Elephas maximus indicus: one gene and its partners. The protein of the gene in region 2 interacts with the protein of the main gene of each other region in a pairwise test. Links are inferred from orthologs where the notes say so. Each region holds a gene or a part of one and is shown on either strand. Other genes may lie near its edges. The genes, in order: GFAP, NXF1 and SRSF1.

The links.
Region 1: the proteins of NXF1 (region 2) and GFAP interact in a two-hybrid assay, tested with the Homo sapiens proteins (3 studies listed by BioGRID and IntAct). The two-hybrid records come from large-scale screens. The link is inferred for Elephas maximus indicus from reciprocal best matches to the Homo sapiens genes NXF1 and GFAP.
Region 3: the proteins of NXF1 (region 2) and SRSF1 interact in binary tests that used the Homo sapiens proteins (3 or more experiments, as listed by UniProt). The link is inferred for Elephas maximus indicus from reciprocal best matches to the Homo sapiens genes NXF1 and SRSF1.

Annotation. Positions count from the first base shown.
Region 1 is NC_064837.1:51,332,594-51,339,909, reverse strand, and holds the start of GFAP (glial fibrillary acidic protein), read left to right. Parts: upstream 1-4,281; 5' UTR 4,282-4,535; coding exon 4,536-5,131; intron 5,132-6,007; coding exon 6,008-6,068; intron 6,069-6,264; coding exon 6,265-6,360; intron 6,361-7,135; coding exon 7,136-7,297; intron 7,298-7,316.
Region 2 is NC_064825.1:125,954,497-125,961,431, forward strand, and holds the start of NXF1 (nuclear RNA export factor 1), read right to left. Parts: upstream 3,045-6,935; 5' UTR 2,893-3,044; coding exon 2,865-2,892; intron 578-2,864; coding exon 397-577; intron 187-396; coding exon 33-186; intron 1-32. Other genes in the region: STX5 (syntaxin-5), read right to left, coding at 5,476-5,635.
Region 3 is NC_064837.1:36,041,655-36,048,683, forward strand, and holds the start of SRSF1 (serine/arginine-rich splicing factor 1), read left to right. Parts: upstream 1-3,938; 5' UTR 3,939-4,075; coding exon 4,076-4,269; intron 4,270-4,652; coding exon 4,653-4,837; intron 4,838-5,162; coding exon 5,163-5,335; intron 5,336-5,537; coding exon 5,538-5,732; 3' UTR 5,733-7,029. UniProt on the Homo sapiens protein: Plays a role in preventing exon skipping, ensuring the accuracy of splicing and regulating alternative splicing.

The DNA of each region.
Region 1 (7,316 bases), on a different chromosome or scaffold from region 2:
CTTCAACACTTTAAAGACGTCCTTTGCAGCAGATTTACCCAATACAATGGGTCTTTTGATTTCTTGACTGCTGCTTTCATGGCTGTTGATTGTGGATCCAAGTAAAATGAAATCCTTAACAACTTCAATCTTTTCTCTGTTTATCACGATGTTGCTCCTTGGTCCAGTTGTGAGGATTTTTGTTTTCTTTATGTTGAGGTGCAACCCATACTGAAGGCTGTGGTCTTTGATCTTCATTAGTAAGTGCTTCAAGTCCTCTTCACTTTCAGGAAGCAAGGTTGTGTCATCTGCATAACGCAGGTTGTTAATAAGTCTTCCTCCAATCCTGATGCCCCGTTCTTCTTCATATAGTCCAGCTTCTCGGATTATTTGCTCAGCATACAGATTGAATAGGTATGGTGAAAGAATACCACCCTGGTGCACAACTTTCCTGACGTTAAGACAATCAGTGTCCCCTTGTTCTGCCTGAACAACTGCCTCTTGATCTATGTAAAGGTTCCTCATGAGCACAATTAAGTCTTCTGGAATTCCCATTCTTTGCAATGCTGTCCATAATTTGTTATGATCCACACAGTCGAATGCCTTTGCATAGTCAATAAAACACAGAGAAACATCCTTCTGGTATTCTCTGCTTTCAGCCAGGATCCATCTGACATCAGCAACGATATCCCTGGTTCCACATCCTCTTCTGAAACCAGCCTGAATTTCTGGCAGTTCCTGGTCGATATACTGCTACAGCCATTTTTGAATGATCTTCAGCAAAATTTTGCTTGCATGTGATATTAATGATATTGTTCTATAATTTCCACATTCGGTTGGATCACCTTTTTTGAGAATAGGCATAAATATGGATCTCTTCCAGTCAGTTGGGCAGGAAGCTGTCTTCCATATTTCTTGGCATAGACGAGTGAGCACCTCCAGTGCTGCATCTGTTTGCTGAAACATCTCAATTGATAGTCCATCAATTCCTGGAGCTTTGTTTTTCGCCAATGCTTTCAGAGCAGCTTGGACTTCTTCCTTCAGTATTATCGGTACCTGATCATATGCTACCTCTCGAAATGGTTGAACATGGACTAATTCTTTTTGGCATAATGACTCTGCGTATTCCTTCCATCTTCTTTTGAGGCTTCCTGAGTCATTTAATATTTTCCCCATAGAATCCTTCACTATTGCAACTCGAGGCTTGAATTTTTCCTTCAGTTCTTTCAGCTTGAGAAACACTGAGCGTGTTCTTCCCTTTTGGTTTTCCACTTCCAGCTCTTTGAACATGTCATTATAATACTTTGTCTTCTCGAGAGGCCCTTTGAAATCTTCTGTTCAGTGCTTTTACTTCATCAATTCTTCCTTTTGCTTTAGCTGCTCGACATTCAAGAGGAAGTTTCAGAGTCTCCTCTGACATCCATCTTGGTCTTTTCTTTCTTTCCTGTCTTTTCAATGACCTCTTGCTTTCTTCATGTACGATGTCCTTGATGTCATTCCACAACTCGTCCGGTCTTTGGTCACCAATGTTCAATGCATCAAATCTATTCTTCAGATGGTCTCTAAATTCAGGAGGGATATACTCAAGGTCATATTTTGGCTCTCATGGACTTGCTCTGATTTTCTTCAGTTTCAGCTTGAATTTGCATAAGAGCAATTGATGGTCTGTTCCACAGTCGGCCCCTGGCCTCGTTCTGACTGATGATATTGAGCTTTTCCATCGTCTCTTTCTACAGATGTAGTCAATTTGATTTCTGTGTGTTCCATCTGGCGAGGTCCATGTGTATAGTTGCCGTTTATGTTGGTGAAAGAAGGTATTTGCAATGAAGAAGTCGTTGGTCTTGCAAAATTCTATCACTCAATCTCCAGCATTGCTTCTATCACCAAGGCCATATTTTCCAACTACTGATCCTTCTTCGTTTCCAACTTTCACATTAAAATCACCAGTAATTATCAATGTATCTTGATTGCATGTTCGATCAATTTCAGACTGCAGCAGCTGATAAAAATCTTCTATGTCTTCGTCTTTGGCCCTAGTGATTGGTGCGTATATTTGAATAATAGTTGTATTAACTGGTCTTCCTTGTAGGCGTATGGATATTATCCTATCACTGACAGCATTGTACTTCAGGATACACCTCGAAATGTTCTTTTTGACGATGAATACACCACCATTCCTCTTCAAGTTGTCATTCCCAGCATAGTAGACTATATGATTGTCCAATTCAAAATGGCCAATACCAGTCCATTTCAGTTCACTAATGCCTAGGATATCGATGTTTATGTGTTCCATTTCATTTTTGACGATTTCTAATTTTCCAAGATTCATACTTCGTACATTCCAGGTTCCGATAATTAATGGATGTTTGCAGCTGTTTCTTCTCCTTTTGAGTCATGCCACATCAGCAAATGAAGGTCCTGAAAGCTTTACTCCATCCATGTCACTAAGGTCGACTCCACTCTGAGGAGGCAGCTCTTCCCCAGTCATCTTTTGAGTGCTTTCCAACCTGAGGGGCTCATCTTCCAGCACTATATCAGACAATGTTCCGCTGCTATTCATAAGGTTTTCACTGGCTAATGCTTTTCAGAAGTAGACTGCTGGATCCTTCTTCCTAGTCTGTCTTAGTCTGGAAGCTCAGCTGAAACGTGTCCTCCATGGGTGACCCTGCTGGTATCTGAATACCAGTGGCATAGCTTCCAGCATCACAGGAACACACAAGCCCCCATGGTATGACAAACTGACAGACACCGTGTCTCATATATACAGGCACAATTCACCCGACTTCACTGACAAGTCCTTCCTGCTTTTGTTACATCTTTTCTCTCCAGGATTGTCTTGTACTCCTTTCAAATAGATTTACTTGAACAAAAAGGGGAGACCGCACACTGTGACTTGCCCAGCAACATGGAAGGGCAAGCCACCCTCCTCGCCACAGAAAATTGGGACAAGGATGAATAGCACAAGGATTCATCCGCAGTCTTGCTCTTCCTTTAAAGCCTCCATCTGTTCCCAGCTCCCCAGCCCAGCAGGATCAAAGGTCAGTGGGTGCCCCCTCCTAACGATGACCCTCCCCATGCTACTGGTCAAGACTCAGAGTTACATGTGGCTAGAGACTCAGGAACTCTCACCTCTGCCCCTCAGAGCTGGGACTCTCAGGGGAAGCCCTCATGTCTGGCCCTAGCAGGCAGCAAATACCCGGTGTGTGGTGGGGGGTATTACCCGGACAGAGGCTCAAGGGCCTGAGCTGGCTGAGAGCTGAGGAGGAGCGGGCAGCCTCCTCTGGCAAGCTGGAGACCTGGCAGTGCCGAGCTGGCCACCCCCAGGGCCTTTCCCTCATGCCCACTGGATGACTCACCTTGGCACAGACACAATGGTACGGGGTGGGCACAGAGCCTGCTTCCCGCTGCACCCAGCCCCCTCAGATGCTTTCCGAGAAACTCATTGAGCAGAGGGCTCAGGCTGCGCCCTGGCCTGACAGCCTGCCATCTTGGGAAAAAAGCAGCACAGCCCCCTGGGGGGCTGCCCTTGAAGTGTGGCACCCTCACCAGCAGTGGAGAACAAGGCTCCTTTCAGCAAGTGCCTGGGGAAAGGAATGGGAGGCCCAGGCATGGACAGTGGGCTATGGCGATGGGGGGGGGGGCATGGAGGGCTATCCGCTTCCCAGAGGTCCAAGGACACATATTGGCAAGGGGCTGGGCAGGGGGAAGAGGTGGACCTGGCTCCCGGCCTATACACAGTGGCTCCCGATTTCCCAAACTTACCCATCCCTGGAGGCTTTTCCCATCTTCCCAGCCTGATGTGTGGGAACTCAAAGGTGATACATCTCCAGCAGGAGAATGAGGGGGTGGCCAGGGAAACAGGGTGTCACAACAACAAAGATGTGAGCAGGGACAGCCAGGTCATTGGTAACTCCTTTGTGGAGCTGTCAAGGCTCAGGAAGGGAGTACAATGAGGCCAGGCGGGGTCTCAAGAGTGGCCCAGGGAGAGGGTCGGGAGTACAGTGTTGGGCCCTCTTCCATACCGGGATCCCCAAAGCCTCTTCTGTCAACCCCCAACTGCTAGATAGAGACTCAGCTGACCGTCCAAACAAAGGGCTGGAGTCCAGTCCAGCTCCCAGCCCCAGAACTCCTGGGAAGGGTGAGGAAGTGGGAATGGCAGATGTCTGTGTCCAGAGGGGAGGATGTCCAGGAAGCTGTCAGGAAGGGGGCTGGGTAGGAAACTGTAACATAAGCTGTTCCTTGAGAGTCTGGAACAGGTTTGTTATTCGCCAAATTCCCATCATCAAGCAGGCACTCGATGGGTGAGGGGATGCCTGGGTGATGGAATTTGAGAGTTAGAAGGTAGGTTAGATGTCCCCTGATTCAGCCCCTTCTTGACCCACCTTCCTAGAAAGGGGGTCTCCTTGTCCAGTGGCTAGGGCCCTAGACCCAGAACCTGGTCCCAGGCACTACCCATCAGTGCCCCTCCCTGACTGTGGCCCAGGCCAGGGCTGGCATGCCCAGGAAGCCCTGCCTCTGGGCACAGTGACCTCGGTGGGGTGAGAGGAGCTCTCCCCATGGCTGGGCTGCGGCCCAACCCCACCCCCTCAGGCCATGCCAAGCGGTGTTGCCAGGGCAGCCTGGGCAGTGCCAGGCCAGCCCACTCCTCCATAAAGCTCTCAGATGCCAGAAGCAGGCAGAGCCCGGCCCTGATGGAGCGGAGACGCATCACCTCGGCGGCCCGCCGCTCCTATGTCTCCTCCTCAGAGACCATGGTGGGGAGCCTGGGTCCCGGCCGCCGCCTGGGGCCTGGCACCCGCCTCTCTCTGGCCCGAATGCCCCCTCCACTCCCGACCCGGGTGGACTTCTCCCTGGCTGGGGCACTCAATGCCGGCTTCAAGGAGACACGGGCCAGCGAGCGGGCTGAGATGATGGAGCTCAATGACCGCTTTGCCAGCTACATTGAGAAAGTGCGCTTCCTGGAGCAGCAGAACAAGGCACTGGCTGCCGAGCTGAACCAGCTACGGGCCAAGGAGCCCACCAAGCTGGCCGATGTCTACCAGGCAGAACTGCGTGAGCTGCGGCTGCGGCTCGACCAGCTCACCGCCAACAGTGCCCGGCTCGAGGCGGAGAGGGACAACCTGGCGCAGGACCTGGGCACCCTGAGGCAGAAGTGAGGACGGGTACCGAAGAGAGGGGTTCTTGAGCAGGGGGACTGAGCTCCTGAGAGGGGTGCCACGGGCCTGCAAGGATCTTGGGTGCAGGGCTCTGCCTCCTTGCTCCCTGGGTTTCTCCACCTCTGGGACAAGAAGGCGATCCTTGTTCCACCATACAGTGGGAGGGACCAGGGAGAGGCCTAACACCTCAGAAGATCAGTCCAGGTACTCTTAGCACCTCCCAACCAGGGGAACGCATGGCAGAGACCTGAGTGGGTGGGGTCTTTCAGTTTCATCCACTGCTGGGCCTCCTGACTGCAGGCAGGGCGTTCGCCTTTTCTGAGCCTGGGTCTATATAGAGGAGGTGTGAAAAGGGGAGAAGGTGGGTGTCTACAAGGAGAATGGGGAGGGGAAGGAGGCAGGGGAAACTGCAGGCAGGCCTGGCTTCAGAACACACTCTGCCTATCATCACCTTGTGACCTTAAGCAAGCCACCTCAACCTGTGCAGCCTTGAAGTGGGGGTCATAATAAACCCTATTTCAATAGTTATTTGCCCAGGGTCTGAGAAGCCGCAGGGACACGATGTTTGCTGAGCTGGCAGGGCATGCAGGATGGCCTGCAAGTGCAGGAGGAGTGTGTGTTTGTGCACACAGCAGCAGCAGGTGCTGTGGATGTGCCTGCCTGAGCGGGAGCAGGTCCACCAACTCTGATAAGGCCCCTTGGTAATGAGTTAAAGCAAAGTCCCTGGACTGCTCACCCTGCTTGTCAAGTCCTCTGTCTAGGACCCCTCTGACCCTGGCTCTCCTGCCACTCTACCAGTCCTGGGAGCCTGGGGAGAGACCCGAGAGTCCTCAGAAGAGCTTGGACCCAGGAATGTGTCTTTCCCACCCCAGACTCCAGGACGAAACCAACCTGAGGCTGGATGCGGAGAATAATCTGGCTGCCTATCGACAGGTCAGGGAGGTGGAGGGGTGGGGCAGGGAGGAGGGATAGGCTTGCAGGCAGCCCACTCCAACAGAGCCCCCCCAGCCCAGCCCTCCAGAGCAATGTGCTGCTCCCCCCTGGTCCCCGAAGAAGGGATAAACAAGGCTGGGAAATGTGGAGGAAGAGTCTGGGGTCCAAGTGGCCCTTTGTCTCCTCCCCATTCCAGGAGGCAGATGAAGCCACCCTGGCCCGCTTAGATCTGGAGAGGAAGATTGAGTCACTGGAGGAGGAGATTCGGTTCCTGAGGAAGATCCATGAGGAGGTGAGGCCAGGGCAGAGGGAGGAGGGCCCAAAACAGAGACTGAAATGGACAGAGATGGAGAAAGACGCTCTGAGCCGTCATTTTGGTATTGACTGATAGAGAAACAGAATGAGAGAGAAACAGAGTGAGAGACAGAGAGACAGATACAGAGAGAGACTAAGAGAGAGAGACAGACAAGAGTATCCAACCCCTAGTAAAACGCACACACTCAACGCCCCAACTCCATTTACTGAGTGTTACGATGGGTCCTATTGCCTCATTTTTTTTTTTTTTCCTTCACAACAGCCCAATGAAGTAGAATCCATTCCAGTATCATCCCCTCTTCACAGATTAGGACACTGAGGTGCAGAGGGGTTAAGACACTTGGTAAGGTCACCTAGCTAGTTTGACTCCAACCCCCCTCTGCCATCTGTCTCCCTTAAAATGACAGCCACTTATAAGAACCCCTGAGCTCTGGCCTCAGATCATAGATTCAGAATCCATGTTGCCATGGAATCAGGAACACAGGCACCCCCATTCACAGAAATATAGTCACTGTCCCCCAAGAATGCAGGCACACTCTCAGAGCCAGCTCCGGCCTGTCCAGCTCTGGGAAGAGGACACCATGAAGCCCCAAACCATCCCGTGTCTCCCTTAGCCTGGGCCGTGCCACTTTCTCCAACTAGGGCTGCCCCAATTCCCTTAGCTGTGTCCATGTCCAAGAGGGCATGATGCTGCAGGAAACCCTGGCTGTCGCCTGAGTCCTAAGCCCTGGGACTTTTCTCACGCTGGCCAGGAGGTACGGGAGCTCCAGGAGCAGCTGGCCCAGCAGCAGGTCCACGTGGAGGTGGACACGGCCAAGCCAGACCTCACAGCGGCCTTGAGAGAGATCCGCACGCAGTACGAGGCAGTGGCATCCAGCAACATGCATGAGGCAGAGGAGTGGTACCGGTCCAAGGTAGCCTAACTGTGGGCAA
Region 2 (6,935 bases):
TACACCACCTACTTCTTTTCCAAGGTACTCACTGTAATCTTGAACCAGTTCTTCGAGGTCCCATCCTGGCTGGTGCCAGCCGCCCCCCTTTCTGGAGGAGCTCTGTCTCTCCGCACAGTGACGTGGATACGGCCTCGATCGTGCCAATTATCACCGCGACGGTTGGGTCGGGCAGCATAAGGGTTGCTGTGAGGAAAAAAATGTCCGTAAGTGCTAGAAAATTCTTCTCAAAGGCCTCCACACTGTTATCATGGCTAGAGCTGAGGGTGTTCAACCATTAAGCCGATTCTGGCATTTCTCATCCTTCAAAATGGGAAAGAGAAGGGGTATGGACAGTAAGAGAGCTGCAGAATCTGATGGGTCACTAAATTTCAGCCAGACCAACTGGTCACTTACTATCGTACTCGGGGACCATCCTGGGCATCAACCATCGCCACATCGCCATCATCTTCCCCAAGGCGAGAAGACCGAGTACCAGAACCGCCTCTTCCAGAGCGACGGTTCCCCTCGCCATAATTCCAACGGAAAGGACCCCGGCCTTTTCTTCTTCGAGGTAAACTAACACGGTCATCGTGCTCTGGAATCGGAAACAGGAACACAAATTAGTTAGAAACACATCAGTAGTCCAGATACCCTGGTGTGGCAATCACAGTATTTGTCACCCTGTACTACTAGACGAGATACATATAACAGAGGCCACCTCCACACAAACCCCTCTGCCTGTCTAAAGAGCCCTCTCTGAGAGATGGCATCTTCAAGGAAAAATTCTTGGCAAACTGTGTTTAAAAACCAAACTCGTTGCTGCAGAGTCTATTCCAAGTCCTAGCGACCCTATAAGGACAGAACAGAAGTGTCCAATAGAGATTCCAAGGCTGTAAATCTTTACAGCAGCAGACTGCCACATCTTTCTCCCGTGGAGCAGCTGATGGGTTCGAACTGCAAAACTTCTGGTTAGCTGCTGAGTGTTTTAACCACTGCACCACCAGGGAAAACTGTGTAGGGCTTTCGAAAATGACAGCAGAATTTCGTACTACAGAAAGGAGAAGCAGGCTGTGGAAATGTGGGTAATCCAAAAGTATAAGTGGACACAAATCAGACCCCCAAAGTCACTTAAAGTTCCTGCTTTCTCTCAGCCTCCCAGGTCTACTCAGTGTAACCTGATTTCTCTCACACCTCCTAACCTAACCAATCACAATGATGACATCAGCTTTTGGTAAATCGTACTTTTTACCAAATGTCAACCCCAAATATGACCAATTTTAGGGCCACCTTAAAAAATCTCCCTGCTCTCAAACTGCCACTCTGAAGTTTTGTGAATGAGTCCTCCATTTCCTTTGCCTGAAATGCCTTTAGCTGTGGGGACAGCTCCTAGACTCAGGCTCGAGTGGCGGCTCCAGCCTAGGACAGATGCTCAACAAAGGAGCCTGGAATGAGCTCCAGGGACATGATTCTCTGAATCCAGATGTGTAGGAATAGCTTTTAAGAAACGGTCCATGACTCCCCAAGAAGGTCTACCTAACGCCTGGTATCCTCCAACCAAGAAGATCTGCCTAATGCCTAGTATCCTCCGACCAGTGAACCCCAACAAACTGACCCAGGGAAGGAAGAAAAAAAAAAAGAATAACAACAGCAGCTCACATTCACTGCACGTTTTCTCCAGTCTAAACACTATGCTCCAGGAACTTGACTTGAACCATCTCATTTAAGCGCACACACACACACACCTTAGGAGTTAGATACTATTATTACCTTATTACAGATAACGGAAGACAAGGCCTGAGTTTAATTAACTCACTCAAGCTTGGTGCAGCCAAATCAGGATTCAAACCTCGGCTGTCATGCACTCCTAACCACTGTTGGTTGTTAGGTGCCCTCAAGTCAGTTCCGACGCAGCAACCCTAGGTACCACAGAACAAAACACTGCCTGATCCTGCGCCATCCTCACAATCATGGCTACGTTTGAGCCACTGTGTCAATCCACCTTGTTGAGGGTCTCCTCTTTCTGACTGATCCTCTACCAAGCATGATCTCCTTCTCCAGGGACTGATCCCTCCTGATAATGTGACTGAAGTACATGAGATGAACTCTCGCCATTCTTGCTTCTAACGAGCGTTCTGGCTGTACTTCTTCCAAAACAGACTTGTTCGTTCTTCTGGCAGTCCGTGGTATATTCGATATTCTTTGCGAACACCATAATTCAAAGGCCTCGCTTCTTCTTTCATCTTCCTTATTCTTTGCCCAGCTTTCGCATACACATAAGACGTTTGAAAATACCACGGCTTGGGTCAGGCGCACCTTAGTCTTCACAGCGACATCTTTGCTTTTTAACACTTTAAGATGGTCTTTGGCACAGATCTGCCCGATGCAATACGTCGTTTTTGATTCATGAACACTACGCTGGACTAAACCCAGGAGATCAGAATATCGAGGTGGTGTATAGGTGGTCTACGACATTAAGCTCAAACGGCAGGAAGAGGTACGATACCGACTACACGCGGTAGAAAACTGGGCACCACGGCAGCCCAGATACACTGAGTCACATTAAAGGAAGAGTCGGGCCGCCAAACTGAACTGACAGGCATCAACCACCCACAGTTCAAAGGAATCCTGTCACCCCACCCTGAGCCACCCGCTTCGAGCCGCAGGTCCTCACGCCAGGATTCCCGAGTCAACAACCCCGGCGCCCACCTCGAGTGCGGCTGGGGCCTCCCGAGGCCGCCTCGCCCCCGGCCCGCCCGCCCCGCGCCCTTCCCCACGGACGCCGGGCCCCTCGCGGCCTCACGCCCCGGCGCTGAGGCCTAGGCCGGCGCCGCCCACCCCGGCCCCGGATCGCCCCGCTCCGCCGCCCGAGGACCAGCACTCACCGCTGTACGACTTCCCCTCGTCGGCCATGGCGCTGCGACAAGCAGGGACGCTCAGGCGCGGGCCACCAAACGTCCGAACGCCCAGGCACCCAGGCCGAAACACCTCTACGCCCGGCACCGCCGCATTTGCCCGGAGGAGCACGTCGCGCGCCGCCGACGTCCCCAGTTGGTGGGCGGGGCCGCCGGGACTAGCGCAGCGCACTGCGCGTGCGCAAACGGCAGGACGCGGCTGGGGGCGGGGCCGGCTCCGAGGGCTGCGCTTTCGGAGCCCGGAATCCCAGGCCCATTCACCCGCCACCTTCTTCGAACGTCGGCCGGCGCTCCTCCGGCACCTCCGGGGCAGTGGCGGGTTAACCGGTAAGCACGGTATGCACGGGGTTAACTTTGCGTACTAATCTGTAGTGCACAGTTTCATCTGGGGTTCATGTCGAACGCAGGTGAAATTGCGCCCTAGATTGGTAATGAAGCACAGCGAAGCCCGCGAGTACCCTGTTTATTGAGTTAATCCGTCCTGCTCGAGTTAGCGCGGGAGCAGCGAACAGCCCAACGGCCTCGAGGCTGCTCCAGCCCAGGACTCGGAGAGAAATGGGGAAGAAGGGTCGCGCCAAGGGCTTCCGAGGAACTGGAGACCGGACCCCGGAGTGGGATTTCTCTCTCACGGACACCTAGCAGGATCCAGCCATTTGACCAAGTTTTAGCCCATCCCCTTACCAGCAGGGACCTTGAGCCTGGTTTTTCTCACCCATAAAATGTGTTAATAACCACGAAATTGAACACCGGAATCTAATGAGAACACATGAATGAATGACAGCAGGGACCATGACTTAATTCATGCTTTTTTTCCCTCCAACTCCTGGCCCAGTACCATGCCTGGCACACAGCAGGAACTCAAATATTTGTGAAGTAAATTTCCCTTCTAAGCATCCCTCTCCTGGAAGAGTTACCAAGTCAAATGAGGCTGCGTGTATGCCGGGCTTTAGCAAACACTTCACAAATGTCCCCAACCACTATGCACTGTGCTAGGCCCACGTCATATGTCAACTGGGCAGACAACGAAGGTGCAAGCAAGACCACTTGCTTAAGAGAGGCCACAGCCAAAACCAAACTCACCGCTGTGACTCGATTCTGACTCATACTAACCCTACAGGACAGAACTGCCCCATTGGGTTTCCAAGGCTGTCATCTTCACAGAGGCAGACCGCCACATCTTTCTCCTGTGCAACAGCTGGTGGGTTCGAACTGCCGATCTTTCAGTTAGCAGCTGAGTGCTTAACCACTGTGCCGCCAGGGCCCCTTGAAAAGAGGCCAAGGGGCAAGGAATTATTAAAATGCCAGGGTGAAAAAAGCCAGGGGCTCCCCTAGGCCCCAAGGTACTAGGACAGATCCTGAGTAGGATGACTGGAGTCTCTATAGCTCGAGTTTCCTTTGGGATGTCTGAAAGACGGACTCCAGTGATCTCAGAATGGTGTGGTTGTGGGTTCTGGTCAGGAAGGTCAAAGCAGCCTATCAACCTCCCTGGAGGATGGGTATACTGGCAGTTTTCTCCTCTGTTCTTTGACTGGCTTCAATTTGGCGAGGGCTTGGAGAAAACACAGAGCCTCAGCTGGAGCAGGGCATATAGCACTTCATTATTTGGTACTGACAGCAGGCAGAGCTCCTGCCTCAACCAGCTCAGAGAAGAACTGAGGTCAACTGGTTGGAGGATGCAGATGGAATCAGTCCACACACTGTTCGAGATGGTCTCAGAGTTGGCCACCAATCACCCACTCTGGGATCCAGCTCCTCCTTTTGAAAGAAGTTTCATGCTAATGAGGTGCTGTTGCATTTGGTTCTCTGCTCCCTGGAGGCGGCTGTGTGTACAGAGCTCAGAGGCTGCCACAGTCGGCCTTGGGGCCCCTTGGAGCCATCAGCGCAACCCTTTCAGTTTTGGTACTGGGCAGTGGTCTCACCCACTTGCTGCCTAGGCCCTTCGACGCTCCCACCCAGAAATGACAACATGGCTATTGAGGCTGACAGTCTTGCTGTAATTGGGAGAAAATGGGCTGCAGTGCATTTGGCAGATTGAGAGTCACGAGCAGCCATGTTGGGGTTTGTGCAGGCAGCCGAGGGGCTCAGGACCCCCAGCCTCACATGGTGAAGAAAGGAAGAAGAAAGAGGTCAAGTTCTAACCCAGATGGGAAAGTTGGTCCCTGGGACAGTTTCTCTTCCTCTCCTCACTCTCAGGAAGGTGGGGGGAAGGGCATCATTTCCCCTTGCTGCCAAAGTTTCCTTTAGGAGAGGCTGGGGAGGATTTAGAAAAACTCATAGTAGAGACAGCCTCTCCCACTGGCCCCCAGCTGGCCTTTGCTCCCTTCCAGTCACTTCACAGCAGAGTCCAAATCCAGAACCGTGTGTGTTTTGTGGGTTGAGGATGGTGAGGATGGACAGGGTAGCCAGAGGCAAGATGGGGGGGGGGGGGGACGTTGTCAAGGGGCAGTGGCCATTCTTAGCAGTTCCAGGGAAACAGGGCCTTTCTCCCAAGCACCCTGCACAGGCTCAGTGGCAGCACTGGCCACCTGCCTTCCCGGGAGGGCTCCAAACCCCCATGGAGTGCCTTAAGAGTAGAGAGGGCTCAGGCAAGGAAGACCACAAAGATGATGAAGAAGACAATGAGGATGAGGAAGATTTTGACCATGAGCCACCGATTGGAGGTGACTGACTGGAAGTACTTGAGGATCTCTGAGTGGGCGGCCTCAACATCCAGCTGGGCTCCTAGCACGTTCTCGTCGATCCTGGGGACAGGCCGGGAGGAAAGGAAACAGGACACTGGATTAAAAAGAATGCTGTTGAGGTGTATTTATTGACATGGAAAGATGGTCACAATATGTGGGGACAAAAAGGGTTTATATACAATATGATACCTTTTTTTGTATCTATTACGGGGCATAAAAAAGGCTCGGGAGGGCTACATAACCAAGTCTTAGCTCTGGTTTGAAAACCGGCTCTGTACTTATTAGCTTATGACCCTAAGCCAGTCACTTAACCTCATGTCTCATTTTCCTCATCTGCAAAATGAGGGTATCCCACACCCTACCTCTCAGGCTGTTGTCAGTCTAAAATAAATCAACAAATATAAAGTGCCTAATCCATAGTAAAGGTGCCCCAGTGATGCAACGGTTAAGTGCTCAGCTACTAATGAAAAGGTTGGTGGTCAGAACCCACCCAGCAGCTCCACAGGAGAAAAAACTAGCAATCTCCTCTGGTAAAGATCATAGCTCAGAAAACCCTATGGGACAGTCCTGCTCTGTCGTGTGGGGTTGCTATGAATCACAATCAACAACCCATGGGTAAGATCCCTCAAAATGTTAGCTGTAATTTTTGGCTCATCAGTACTTACTCATTTCTGTCTAATAAATATATGCTCATTTATAATAGGGAAAAAAGTTCACAGACCATCAGAGTCAGGAAATCCTGGTTCTGAGTGAGAGAAGAAGAGAAATTTAATGTGGACAGGAAGTCAGGGGATGAGAAAAGGCCTACTGGGAGAACATGTCTCTGAGAATGGAAGTACGAGGTAAGAACTGTAAGGTGTTAATTACGTCAGTGCCAGCAGTTTCAGTTGAAGGGCTTAGGAACAATTTTATAGCAGGCTGAAGCAGAAAAGGGGGATAAGGAAACAGAAAATGTAGACAAGCATATGCAAAAGAAACTGAAACTTGAAAGGATGAAAATTTTCCAATAGACATAGACATCCTTCGGTTTAGAGAATTAGGTGTTCTTACATATAGAGAAGTTCTTAGAGGAAGGGCAATCTCTTGAGAAAGTCCCGAGGAAAATAAAGGATTTCCCAGTCAATCTGCATATGCAATCCTAAAAACCAAATAGAAATCCTTATCTTTGCAAAAGTAGTCCCTGTGAGCGGACACACTTGTGGGCTACAAGTACAAAGAATGTGGTGGAGCCTGGCACTCCTGCTGGGAAGTGAGAGGAGAGGGTGGCCCAGTGGCTGCCAGTTCCCAGTCCTGAGAAGGTGGTCATGAAGACTGTGAGCTAACCTCAGTGTCTCAAACACAGGAGGAGCCTGGATCGTAT
Region 3 (7,029 bases), on a different chromosome or scaffold from region 2:
TGCCTTACCCCCCAACAAATGAATAAATACCAAAAAACCAAACACGTTGCCATCGAGTTGATTCCAACTCATAGCAACCCTACAGGGCAAAGTAGAACTTTCCCACAGGGTTTGGGTTTCCAAGGCTATAATCTTTACAAAAGCAGACTGCCACAACTTTCTCCCTCGGAGCAGCTAGTGGGATCAAACTGCCAACTTTTCAGTTAGCAGCCTAGTGCTTAACCACTGGGCCACCAGAGTTCCTAAATGAATAAATAGTTTGGTTTATTTGCATTATTGTATGTTGACGCTTGTAGACTGAAATATCTTAATCAACTCCAGGACATGATAACATTAAGATCACCTCCTTAATTGCAGCAATCATCAAGTTAATGTTATCCTAAGAGACCTCTTCCTACCATGCCCTAAGCCCATCACCTACAATTTGGTTAAATTAAAATATAAAAAAGAGGCTAATAGATAAACAACAATACTCTATTCACATCTATTAAGCTTTATCTTGTATTCCTCTGAACCAAACAAAATCAGAAATAATTTCATTAAATTGGACAAACGAGAATAAACCAAAACAAATGCACGGTTTTCTAATTTTTTCGGCATGAAAATGTCTTGAAATTAAAAGCACCCGTACCTATTTACTCTGTATGCTGAGCAAATAATCTGAGAAGCTGAACTATATGAAGAAGAATGGGACATCAGGATCGGAGGAGGACTCATTAACAACCTGCGTTGTGCAGACGATACAACCTTGCTTGCTGAAAGTGAAGAGGACTTGAAGCACTTACTGATGAAGATCAAAGACCACAGCTTTCAGTATGGATTACACCTCAACATAAAACAAAAATCACAACTGGATCAATAAACCACATCATGATAAACGGAGAAAAGACTGAAGTTGTCAAGGCTTTCATTTTACTTGCATCCACAATCAACACCCATGGAAGCAGTAGTCATGAAATCAAAAGATGCGTTGCAGTGGGTAAATCTGCTGCAAAGGACCTCTTTAAAGTGCTGAAATCAAAATTGTCACCTTGAAAATTAAGGTGCGCCTGACCCAAGCCATGGTATTTTCAATCACATCATATGCATGTGAAAGCTGGACAATGAATGAGGAAGACTGACAATTGACACCTTTGAATTATGCTGTTGGCAAAGAATATTGAATATACCATGGACTGCCAAAAGAAGGAACAAATCTGTCTTGGAAGAAGTACAACCAGAACGTTCCTTAGAAGCAAGGATGGTGAGACCGCGTCTTACATACTTTGGACATGTTGTCAGGAAGGATTAATCCCCGGAGGACATCACGCTTGGTCAAGTAGAGAGTCAGCGAAAAAGAGGAGGGCCCTCAACAAGATGGATTGACAGTGGCTGCAACAATGGGCTCAAGCATAACAAGGGTTGTAAGGATGGCGCAGGACCGGGCAGTGTTTCATTCTGTGATACAAACGGTCGCTATGAGTCAGATCCAACTCGATGGGATGGTACCTAACAACAACAACATGAGGGTTCATTCCCTGGAGGATATCATGCTTGGTAAAGTACAGGGTCAATGAAAAAGAGGAAGACCCTCAATGAGATGGACTGACACGGTGGCTACAACAATGGGCTCAAACATAACAACAACTGTGAGGATGGCACAGGACCATGCAGTGTTTTGTTCTGTTGTACACAGGGTTGCTATGAGTTGGAAATGACTCAACAGCACCTAACAACAACATGTTTAAATCACTTCAATTACCACTGATTTAGCACGAATCAAGACAGGCCTGAGTAATTGTACACCAATAGATAAAAATTGGAACAGAAAGAAAAGTGTGCTTAGCAAATAACTGTTAAAAGAACTAATGAGTACATGATAATGCCAAAGAATTTTTTAAAACCCTCTTCTGCTATTAACTGAATGGAAGAGTGCTAGAAACTGAATACATCTGTTGAAATGCTATCTTTTTTAATCAGCCTCTTCTATTAAAAAAAAAAATCAGATTCTTTTTTATTAAAACCTCAGTTTCAAAAAATATTGTTGAAGGACAGCCTGAAGGATAGACAATCTATCCTTTCCTCTAAAATTTTCAGAGGTTCCTTCCCTTTTTTATATCTACAGACCCCTTTAAGAATGTGATTAAAATTTCAAATCCTCTTACTTTTTTTTTTTTTTCCCCCTGAAAAAAGTACATGCACAGCACAAAGAGTCCAAGGACTACTACAGGTCCTCCATGCATCTGCTGAGGATCTACAGACCCAAAGTAAGCATTCCTGCTCACAATATTTCAAACTAAATTTATATTTTCAGATCACTAAGAGCTACGGCTGCTAACCAAAAGGACAGCAGTTCAAGTTCACCAGGCGCTCCCTGGAAACTCTATGAGGTAGTTCTATTCTGTCCTATAGGGTCGCTATGAGTCAGAATGGACTGGATGGCAACAGGTTTGGTTTTTGGTTTAGATAGACATTTGAACTAAGAAAACATGCCCTTCTCCTGTACAATTAATCTATTTTTATATCAAGGCACTTTGGGTTTTGAAAATACTTGTCTACCCTTCTTTACTGCGGCCTCTAGGAAGACCAGAGTGAAATCTGCAGTCTATCTGCAGGCTCTTACTGCAGACATTTTGTGTACTAACCTTATCCGGGACTTCAACTTAATCCCCTAACCCCTTATTTTCCCATTCCCCTGATTTCTTCATCCAGTTTTAATGTTTTATGGTATCCCTGTAAGCTGCCTTGCATCCTTGGGGAGAAGGGCTGTTGTAAATAAATACATAATATGAAGAAAATCATCCTTAAACTTAAGAGTGCAGATCTCTTTTAGCATATTTATCACTGCAGGGCTTTTTATATTTGAACTTATTTCCAACATTTTAAATAAGCCCAACATCTCACATAAAAATTCAGATTTCAGGCGTCTCTAGAAAAATGTAAAAAATTATCTCCCTGAACCAACACTCGAGGAGGATCACAGTCCCAACAACTGTGGTCTCCAATGGGAATGAGTTTAAAATCTTGCATATAATTAATAGGGGAAACTTTTGAAAACAAGATTAACTTCAGGATTTTACAAATACTACTTCTTTCTAGTTCTTTGAAAGGAGGAAAAATGACAAGCACAATCCATTTTTGAAGTATTCATGAGCCTCGCCTCTCCTCTCCGCTAGGCCTAGCAATAGGCCATCAATGAGAGGCGGTGCGGTCGGTGGTTGACACCCTTCCTGGTTGGCAAGTGCCGCCCCTGACTGATCAGGGTACGACCTACACATACCGCCGGTAACAGTTGGCGTGCTGAATCGAGCTATTCAAAGTTAAGTTCTGAGCCGAAGATGGAACGGTACTTAATGCAGAATACTTACTAAGGAACCTGAAATGCACTCCCCTAAATCAGACAGGTGTCTAAACAGCCCATGGCTTATTTGCAAGCAGCGGGGTGGGAAGGCAAGGCTACGCCCTGGCGCTCTATTAACTCCCCAGCGTCGCAATTCCTGGACTAGGCGCACTCTTGCCCGTTTCCGGAGCAACTGGCCGATCCCTCCCCCTTTGACTCCGCCCCCGGGAGTCTTTCCCGCCAAAGGCCGTTAACTTCGCGGAGCATTATGGGACAAGGCTCTAGGCTAGGTTTCACCAAATTCTAGCAAGGCGCCGAAATGCTCCAAAAGAGGCTCATTCCTGGAGACCCTGACTATCCTCGACGACCTGACAGGCATCAATAGCCCCTTTAACGAGTGCTCTGTATTTAATTTTTATCACACAACTTATCACCCCGTTGGCAAACTGCTCCGCAGCTGGGGAGCGCGGGGAACTTTTTTCTCTTCGTGCGGAAGGTCACGTCGCGGGTGCGTATGCGTCCTTTCAAATGCGTCCGTTACGCACTTGCGCGTGCGTATTGAGATCGAATAGCTGCTTCCATCCGCTTCTCTTCCTCCCTCCCCCCCATATCCGTGCGCCGAGCAGATAAAGGCGCCATTTTGGAGGGGCCGCGGGAGACGTGGTGTCGCTGCGGGCTCGCTCTGTCGTGCGCTAAGCTTGGTGGGAAGGCCTGTTCTCGAGTCCGCGCTTTTCGTCGCCGCTTTTCGTCGCCGCCATGTCGGGAGGTGGTGTGATTCGTGGCCCAGCAGGGAACAACGATTGCCGCATCTACGTGGGTAACTTACCTCCAGACATCCGAACCAAGGACATTGAGGACGTGTTCTACAAATACGGCGCTATCCGCGACATCGACCTCAAGAATCGTCGCGGGGGACCGCCCTTCGCCTTCGTTGAGTTCGAGGACCCGCGGTGAGGCGGCATGGGGCTTGCAGTCTTTACGAAATAGGTTGGAATAGTTAGGGGAGGCTCTTTTGAGAGGAGAAAGGCGCTATTGCCCATGCAGGAGTTGAGTAAGGGGTCGAGTCGGCGTAGTTTCTCCGGTGGCTGGGCCCCGTGGATATCTGCGGAGCCGACTCGCAGGCTTGGAGCGGGAAACTGAGGCGCCGGGGGCTGTTGTAGTTGTCGGGAGCCTGGCGTGCTTCTGGGTGGGGGAGGGGCCGTTCCTATTATGTAGCGCATGTGGGCTCTTTGGCCTTCGGTGCGCATGTGCGGGGGGCCGCTACGTCCCGACTGAGTTAGGCTTCCCCTTCCTATTCCTTCTCTCATGCCTTTTGCCTCCTGTGATCACGCAGAGACGCGGAAGATGCGGTGTACGGTCGCGATGGCTATGATTACGACGGTTACCGTCTGCGGGTGGAGTTTCCTCGAAGCGGCCGTGGCACTGGCCGCGGCGGCGGCGGGGGTGGAGGCGGTGGAGCTCCCCGAGGCCGCTATGGCCCACCGTCCAGGCGGTCTGAGAACAGAGTGGTTGTCTCTGGTAAGCTTACTGCTTTTGTGGGTTCATGAAAAAAGGGGCAAGAGCTGCTTTAAAGTTTTCCATGCATGACTGGTTTGACAACTGAAAATTTCATATCAGATCCTTTATTAGTTTTTTGGGTGAGTTTAGTAAGCGTGTATAACTACTAGAAATTCAGCAAAATAGATTGCAGCACTAGAGTAGGAAGATGCGTATTCTTTGCAAATCAGTTCGGATTCTGGATTCTAGAGTCTTTCAAGTACGTTCACTAAGTATTTGTTCTGGTGTACGCTATAAATTTAACGTGAAATTTGGGATAGTATTGAAAAAATAAATCACTTTTCAGGACTGCCTCCAAGTGGAAGCTGGCAAGATTTGAAGGATCACATGCGTGAAGCAGGTGATGTATGTTATGCTGATGTTTACCGAGATGGCACTGGTGTCGTGGAGTTTGTACGGAAAGAAGATATGACCTATGCTGTTCGAAAACTGGATAACACTAAGTTTAGATCCCATGAGGTAGGTTATACACTTAATTCTTTTCTTTGGCCAGAATTGGATACAGTGGTCTTAAACAGTGGAATTTGAAGGTAAGGATTCAGGCAAGGGTGTCCAAGTAAAGTACCAGATTTCTGGTATTAGTTACATTGTATTCATTCAGCATGCCTGAAGACAGGTGAAAACTTAGATGTTTCAATCGAAAGTTCTGTCTATCCAATAGGGAGAAACTGCCTACATCCGGGTTAAAGTTGATGGGCCCAGAAGTCCAAGTTACGGAAGATCTCGATCTCGAAGCCGTAGTCGTAGCAGGAGCCGTAGCAGAAGCAACAGCAGGAGTCGCAGTTATTCCCCAAGGAGAAGCAGAGGATCACCACGCTATTCTCCCCGTCATAGCAGATCTCGCTCTCGTACATAAGATGATTGGTGACACTTTTTGTAGAACCTATGTTGTATACAGTTTTCCTTTACTCAGTACAATCTTTTCATTTTTTAATTCAAAATGTTTTGTTCAGAATGGGCTGAAAAGTGTTGAATTGCATTCTTGTGTAATATCCCCTTGCTCCTAACATCTACATTCCCCTCATGTCTTTGGTAAATTGTATTTTAAGTGATGTCATAGACAGGATTGTTTAAATTTAGTTAACTTTCCATGCTCTTCAGACTGTGATATTGTGTAAATGTCTATTCTGCTCTGGTTTGTGTGAACTGGGATGTTGGGGGTGTTTGTGGTTACCTTACCTGGGGAAGTTCTTATGTTTATCTTGCCTTTTCATGTGTCTTTCTGTAGACATATCTGAAGAGATGGATTAAGAATGCTTTGGATTAAGGATTGTGGAGCACATTTCAATCATTTTAGGATTGTCAAAAGGAGGATTGAGGAGGATCAGATCAATAATGGAGGCAATGGTATGACTCCAAGTGCTATTGTCACAGATGAAATTGGCAGTATTGACCTTATACTAAAAGACAAGGATTAAAAATGATTATATACATCAACCTTAAAACAGTTGCAAACATTTTATGCAGTTACCTTTAGCTACAATTGCTTTGCTCTTTATATTTGGCAATTGTGGCAAAATTACATTGCCCATTTTGTAACAAATTTATTTTGCTCCTTTCCCCCTTTTTTTGTTTTAATAGGGACTAATGTGGGAAGAACTGGCTAATTTGTCATAGTGCTTAGTTACAACTGTTAATGTGTGACCTGCTGTTGGTGTACATGTGGGTACAGGGTGTCTTTAATTCCAACCAGATAGAGTATAATATCAATACTGCTAAATTTGCATGTCCTCTGTGTGACTGATATAGCGTTGCTATTTCATTTTTTTTTTTTTTTTAAGACAAAATGAAAGCAAAATATAGAATTCCAGCATATTGGTGTAGATAATCTAGATGGGAATACTTTGTCTCACCTTTCCCTTTAAACTAATATTCATAATTGATTCGTGTTAAAACACTTTAATTTACAAATTGCAGACGAGAGCATTATTTAGTTTAGACTTAGGTGGGTTTAGCAATACCAGTAAACTTTTCAACTACATAACTCTTTTTGCAACCACAAAACCTGTAATACGCTGTACAGTAACAAGTGTTGGCATTATCAGTTGAACTGTAAATATAAATAGCTTCTTCCAATTAGTCTCTATAATGATTAAGTTTCTAAAGTTTATCTGAACACCATTCAGAAACTTGTTTTGGGGAATTTGATAGTT